Callithrix jacchus: one gene and its partner. The protein of the gene in region 1 interacts with the protein of each later gene in a pairwise test. Links are inferred from orthologs where the notes say so. Each region holds a gene or a part of one and is shown in the gene's direction. Other genes may lie near its edges.

Region 1 (3,749 bases):
TCGTCATCTCTCTGGGTGTAAAGAAGCCCCTGTAACTACATAGGAATAAAGAACTTCCCTACAAAAGAAGGGCATTTACCTACTGCCAACCTCTTAAATTTTATCTGCTCAAGGTCAACTATGCTAGCCTCAAACCACAACCCCTAAAGCTGCCTCAAATTCCTAATACTAACCCCACCTCTAATTTGTTTTCTGATTCCCAGTACTGGCTTGGACATTCATCTCTTTCCTAGCAAAGACCCATATTCAATCCCTGAACCCTAACACTGATCTACGTTTTACCTTTAGCACCAAATCCCCTGATGTTAACCCTAAATGTTGACCCCAAAGCCTAAAGTTCATTTGTAAACTGATTCCTAACTCACCCTTTCACTGTTTATTCTTAATAGTGAGCATGCCAACGTTCTTTAATCCCCCAAACAGATTTCTAACCTGATTCCTGTTGTTGACCCTTAACCCGATCCTGAACTCAAATTATGACGAATGCTGGCCATGCCAGTAAACAAAATAATGACCTTAATCTAAACCTTACCTATCCAAAACGGACCTGACTCACACTGACTCAAGTTTTAACTCCAGCTTTTAACTCCTACAGCGACCCCTCATTCCTAAACCGATCCCACCTAATCTGCAACTCACCCAAAGCTTTCCTACCCACATGCCCGCTATCAGCTAACACCAAAGCCCGTCCCCGCCCTGCGCCCCGCTGCCACCCGACTCCTCACGCTCCCCAACGCCTATCCCAGGCAGAGGACTGCTCCGAGGAAAGGTCTGTCTCCCCTAAGACGGCCTACTTCACGCCAAGCCCAGGTCGAGATGCGCTGGACCCTGACCTCTCCTACTAATAGGACCCGAACCGGACACGAAGGAGAGGCAGGGCCCCGCCTGCCCGCCACCAGGGCCAGGTTCCGCGGCCCCACCCTAAGGCCCCCGCCCGGCCCAGCCCGGTCCGGTCCAACCTACCTGCGCTGCCTGGCTCTGCGCCCTGCCCGCCGGCCCGCAGCCCTGAGGCTTCTCGGGTCGCCCTCTGGCTCCGGCCTCGCCTTCCCTTCGACACTCCCTCGGCCACTTCCGTCCCAGGAACGTCCCCCACCCGCGGGCGGCGCCCTGGGCTCGCGCTCTATGGTCGTGGGGCCGGCAGGAAGCTGCTCTGGCCCCGGTCTCGATGCTCAGGAGCCGCCGAAGCCCGGCAGCCACTCCCCGGCAGGAAGCGAGGGTACGGCGCAATGCTGAGACGACGCCCGGATGACGCCTGAGCTTCCTTTTAGGCCTGAACTCTTAATTTTTCCAGCCTGGGGGAGAAGGCGGAGCCGGAGCCCCGGAGCCTCCGCCCTCGGGGTGCGAGGCGACGGCAGGGCCGTCCCCTGTATTTGCATAGCCCTTGGGACGTGGCGCGGCACCCAGGCCGCCTTCCAGTTGGAGAGAACTCCAAGTCCCAGAATGCCACGGGGCCGGGTGCGTCACTTTCGCTGTGTTGGAGGCTGAGGAGAATTGAGCCTGGGAGGTGGGTCCGGAGAGGGCTACGGATAGCCCCGGCGGGGAAGCCCGGCCGTAGAGGGGCGGTGGAAAAGTGCCAAAGGCCGACAGCTGATCTGGGACTCGTGTCTGGGCTTCGGACGTTGGGGCCCCGTGGCCCACCCTTTACGTAGATGTCTCAAATGGAGCTAGAATTGGATCCTGGTGACGAAGACCTGCTGGGCTTCCTGCTAGAGGCAAGTGGAGATTTGGGGACGGCGCACGAGGCCATCAGGGCCCCACTGGACTGGGAGCTGCTGCTTTCTGAGGTGGGTTGGGATTGCGACTGGGGAAAGCGTGGGATGTCCATGAGGTCAGGTGATGGTTATAGGTCAAGGCCTGTTCATTGGAACCCTGCGCAGGTACCGAGTGACTGGGAGTTAGATGATTTGCTGAGCTCACTGCTGAGTCCCCCAGCATCGTTGAACGTTCTCAGCTCCTCCAACCCCTGCCTTGTCCACCACGACCACACCTACTCCCTCCCACAGGAAGCTGTCTCTGTTGATCTAGGTGAGTCTGAAGTAAGTTTGCTGGGAGGAGAGGATTCATGGGCCTGGCTATTCATACTTTCCCTTTTGCAGAGAGTGAGAGCTTTGGAAAAGAGGAGACCCAGATGACTACACAGCATGTGGAGGAAATGGCAGAGCAGGTACTTGACTTGATTTTCAGGAAGATTACTCTCACATTCCCCAGGTGGGGCAGGATTCCCCATTCCTCTCTGACATCCCCATGCAACTGCTGCCCACTTTCTTGTTACCCTAGGAGACTGTTAGGTTGGTACTGACAGATGAGGAGAAGAGTCTATTGGAGAAGGAGGGGCTTATTCTGCCTGAGACACTTCCTCTCACTAAGGTAAGACTCTCATTGGTTGAGCAAAGGCTGAAAGGGAGTAAGAGTCCCAAGTAGGCCAGTTTTGTTAACTTTATATCAATAACTTTAAAAAAGGATTGAGTTGAGAAAATTAGCAGATTTGTTGCTAATAAGAAGTTGGGGCAGGTACCTAATGTGCTAGATGCAAGGGCAGATACTCGTATTTGTTGGGCTTACTTATACAAATTTTGGTGTTCTGCCTAAAAAAAAAATCATCAATGTAACTTAGTATTGGGCCTTGGAAAGGACTGTGTAAGTGAAGGGCCTTGACACTTCATTGGCTTGATAGTAGTCTACCTCTTGCTGAATGGTAAAAATGTTTAGAGTTCAACAGGGGTGGACTAAGCAGGACATGAATAAATGTAAAATCCTGAGTTTTAAGTTTTAAGCAATGAGCAGCAACTTCACAAGCAGAGTACTGTGATACTATGATGAAATCAGTGCTCATTAATAAAAAGGTTACAGGAATTTTTTCTTTTTGACAGGGTCTTGCTCTGTTGCCCAGGCTGAAGTACAGTGGTGTGATCATGGCTAACTGCAGCTTTGACTTTCTGGGCTTAGGTGATTCTCCCACCTCAGCCTCCCAAGTAGCTGAGACTACAGGTGCATACTACCCTGCTCAGCAAAATCTTTTCTGGTATTTTTAGTAGAGATGGAGTTTTACCTTGTTGCCAGGCTGGTCTTGAACTCCTGGGCTCAAGTGATCTACCCACCTGGAGCTACCAAAGTGCAGAATTTTAATTTCTTCAAAGTACAAGATGAATCGGCAGTGTGATGTGGCTACTAGGAAAGTGAATGGAATTTGGAGACTGTAGCAATAGAGTTATTGCCTCTATAAGTGACTCTCTTGCTTTCCTTTATACTGGGTAGAGCACATCTTAATGTCCAATTTTGAGACCATCTTTGACAGATATTAAGAGGATGCAGGCTATCCTAAGATGATGTTAAAAATTTTGTGTAAGTTTTTTTTTCTTTTTTTTAAGCTCTGAGGAAATGTTAAGTGCCTTAAAATAGCTAACACAGTTCATTCTATTTGGCCCCAGAAATACTAGGTAAGTCTAATGGATAGAAATTATAAGGAGGCAGCTGTTGGTTCAGGATAAGAAAGTTTTGTTTAAAGACAGGTTCTTTCTTTATTGCCCAGGTTGGAGTATAGTGGCAAGATCATGGCTCACTACAGCTTTGACCTCTCAGGCTCAAGCCATCCTCCTGCCTCAGCCTCCTGAGTAGTGGGACCACAGGTGTGTGCTACCACACCCAGCTAATTTTTTATTTTTAGTAGAGACAAGATTTCAATATGTTGTTCAGGCTGGTCTCAAACTCCTGGGCTCAAGCAGTCCTCCTGCCTTAGCTCCCTAAGGTAT
Region 2 (3,474 bases), on another chromosome or scaffold:
GTGCCTGTAATCCCAGCCACTCGGGAGGCTGAGGCAGAGGCTGCAGTGAGCTGAGATCACGCCACTGCACTCCAGTGAGACTTTGTCTCAAGAAAAAAGAAAATGCTACTTCTTGCTACTTCTGGTCTGAGAGCCAATCTTTTGGCTTCTTGATGATCCTACTGCCAGTGGTCACCTGCTCTGTAATAAGCCTCTGTGAGCTGGGTACCTTTTGATTGTGTGTGTGTGTGTGTGTGTGTGTGTGTGCTTTGAACAGCTAAGAACTTAGAGCTGCTGCCATTTCTGTCAGTGGTTATTAATTCTGGCCTGACAAAAGCTACTTTCATCTTCATGCTGTCTGCATTTAGGATTACAGGTTTTGGTGAGGATTTAGAAAATTAGGGTACTTGAGAAATTAGGGCAGCTGGGGAAGCTTGCTCAAGCCCCAGACACTAATTTCCCTGAGACCAGATCACCCCCAGTGTGGCAGCTCAGGGTTTTTTGTTTGACCTCAGGTGAAGTTCTTTGTGGAGCTCATCAAGAGTGAACCACATACATTTTTTTCCAGAATGTGGTAGTGTCTCAGACTTCTAAATGATTTCTTTACATGCTGAAAAAGAAGAATTTATTCATCTAGGCAATTCCACCCTGAACACACCCTATCTCAGAAGCTAAGGCCTGGTTAGTACTTGGATGGGAGACCCCCTGTAAATACCAGGTGCCAGAGGCTTAAAACGAAGAAAAGAATAGCTCATTCATGATCCTTCAATCCTCAGTCCCAGTCAAGTGGGTATCTTCAGTGAATTAATTTTTTTTCTAGGGCTGCAGAGTTTAGTTGGTTTGCCCATATTACTATCAAAGTTACAGGCTATATGCATTATCAGGTAGCTTCTACACCTGCCACATCTGGGCTGCCACCTTTCAGAAGTTGATAGTCCAGGAAACATATGGACCAGTTCAAATTCATCACCAACACAGGGAAAGTGCTCCAGTATTTTTAATCCATCTTTCCTTGCCTCGTGTAAGTGTAAAAGGCAGTGGAGTAAGGGTATTGTGATCCTATTAATTGGATTTCCGGTTATGCTTTAGTCTATAACCTTGAAAAGAATCATTAGCTTTGGTTCTGTCTTAAAAGGAATGAAAATTATTGCTTACTGTATCCCTTCTTACATGGGGAAGGTCAGGAGGAATATGCTGGCAATGAATTTATAATGGAAGAAGTCTTAACATTTGTCTTCCATACTCCTTTCAGAATCGGCTGCAGTCTCAAAGGTCACTGCTTCTACAAGGCACTGAAAGCCTGAACCGGGCCACCCAAAGTATTGAACGTTCTCATCGGATTGCCACGGAGACTGACCAGATTGGTTCAGAAATCATAGAAGAGCTGGGGGAACAACGAGACCAGTTAGAACGCACAAAGAATAGAGTAAGGCTGGGCAGAAAGGGAAAGGGGCAAGTATGGGGAAATTGAGAGGCCACTGCACCTGGAAACCATACTAAGACCAAAAGCTACGGCAGTTCTGAATTCAGGGAATAGTCTTTTTTAGGTTCTTATGCTTCTCTCAATTTTTATTTATTTATTTATTTATTTATATTTTTTGAGATGGAGTCTTGCTTTGTTGCCCAGGCTGGAGTGCAGTGGTGTGCTCCGCTCACTGCAACCTCTGCATCCTGGGTTCAAGCGATTCTCCTGCCTCACCCTCCCGAGTAGCTGGGATTACAGGCATGTGCCACCACACCCAGCCAAGTTTTGTATTTTTAGTAGTGATGGCATTTCACCATGTTGGCCTGGCTGATCTTGAACTCCTGATCTCAGGTGATCCACCTGGCTCAGCCTCCCACAGTGCTAGGATTACAGGCATGAGCCGCTGTACGCGGCTGCTTTTCTCAATTTTTAAGTTTGCTTGGCTGAGAGATCTCTGTTAGAAGTAATTTTACTCCTAAGATTTAGACATCATTGGAAATTTTTGCTTCAATGAAAGGAAAAAATGACAGAAGGAACCTGATTTATGCACTTAAAAGATTACAGGAATTAAAAGCTGCCAATATGAGATTTTAATTTCTCATACATCTAGTACAGTATTCTGCTATTCTTATGAAAACATCATCTACTTACACCCTGTCATTTAGAGTTGAGGCTATTTTCCAGATTTCCTAAAATAGTACCACTGTTTATAGGCAGTTTATAGATTATATAAATTATGGTTCAATTCTAGACTATAACTCTTTACTATTATATAATACTTAAAAAAAAAAAAAAGCAATAGGGAAAAAAATCTCTAAGGATTATCCAGTAAGGTAAGCTGGATCATTGTGGAAAGAAAACAAATATTTAAACCAAGTGACGACTGTATCAGGGAACTCTAGTTTGCTGTCACTCTGAGAGACTCCGAAAAAGAACTCATTTATTTTTTCCTTTCCATAAATAGTTAACCTTCATAGGAATTTTTTAGTTTTTTAGAGACAGGGTCTTGGTCTATCACCCAGGCTGTAGTGCAGCAGTGCAATTATAGCTTACGGTACCTTCAAACTCCTGGGCTCAAGTGATCCTTGTGTGTAGCTGGGACTACAGGCATGTGCCACTGTGCCTGGCTAATTGTAATTTTTTGTAAAGACCAGGTCTCACTGTGTTGGTGAGGTTGCTCTTGAATTCCTGGGCTCAAGTAATCATTCCACTTTGGCCTCCCAAAACTCTGGGATTACAGCCACTGTGCCTGGCTGGAATTTTAAATTAGTACAGTTTGCCAATAGAATGTGTATTCTTAATAGCAGAAGGCAAATCAGATTGAAAAACATACTGGGACCAAGATTTGGACAGGAAAATACTAGCTCAGTGTGAAGATTTGAGTAGATCTTAATAGCTAGAATTCTCCATTAAGTCAGAGTAATGCCCTTCCCTCTTCAGTGAAAATTCACAATAAAGTACTAAATTCAAGGCAAGCTATGAAGAATATAATTTGCTTACAGATCATAGGGGTTCTGGTTTTTGAACATACCAAGTAGATTGGTTGAATTTAAAAGCCCAGGAGGCCAGGCTTACACCTATAATCCTAGTACTTTGGGAGGCTGAGGTGGGAGGATGGCTTGAGCCCAGGAGTTTGAAACCAGCCTGGGCAACATAGTGAAACCCCATCTCTACTAAAAATCAAAAAAAGTAGGGTGTGGTGGTACACAACTGTGATCCCAGCTACTTGGGAGACTGAGCTGGGAGTGTTACTTGAATCTGGGAGGTTGAGGCCGCAGTGAGCTGCGACTGCAGCACTGCACTCCAGCCTGAGTGATGGAGCAAGACCCTGTCTCAAATAAATAAAAGCCAAGGAATAAGCTGAGAGATCAGCTTACCAAGGCCACTGGGGAATGGGAACAGATGGCAGGTGGACATCTGCTGGAGGTGAAATATCCTCCAGCTGTCCAGATTAGTAGCAGGCAGTTGAAAGTTCCATGGAGGTTAATTCCTTTCACAATTCAATGTAACTGTCTCTTAAGAGGGTAAAG

What was found. The genes of interacting proteins can lie anywhere in the genome.
Region 2: the proteins of CREB3 (region 1) and VTI1B interact in a two-hybrid assay, tested with the Homo sapiens proteins (2 studies listed by BioGRID and IntAct). The two-hybrid records come from large-scale screens. The link is inferred for Callithrix jacchus from reciprocal best matches to the Homo sapiens genes CREB3 and VTI1B.

What each region holds. Positions count from the first base shown.
Region 1 is NC_133502.1:142,636,748-142,640,496, forward strand, and holds the start of CREB3 (cyclic AMP-responsive element-binding protein 3), read left to right. Parts: upstream 1-1,459; 5' UTR 1,460-1,649; coding exon 1,650-1,784; intron 1,785-1,877; coding exon 1,878-2,025; intron 2,026-2,096; coding exon 2,097-2,164; intron 2,165-2,277; coding exon 2,278-2,367; intron 2,368-3,749. UniProt on the Homo sapiens protein: Endoplasmic reticulum (ER)-bound sequence-specific transcription factor that directly binds DNA and activates transcription. Plays a role in the unfolded protein response (UPR), promoting cell survival versus ER stress-induced apoptotic cell death.
Region 2 is NC_133509.1:102,653,973-102,657,446, reverse strand, and holds part of VTI1B (vesicle transport through interaction with t-SNAREs homolog 1B), read left to right. Parts: intron 1-1,231; coding exon 1,232-1,405; intron 1,406-3,474. UniProt on the Homo sapiens protein: V-SNARE that mediates vesicle transport pathways through interactions with t-SNAREs on the target membrane. These interactions are proposed to mediate aspects of the specificity of vesicle trafficking and to promote fusion of the lipid bilayers.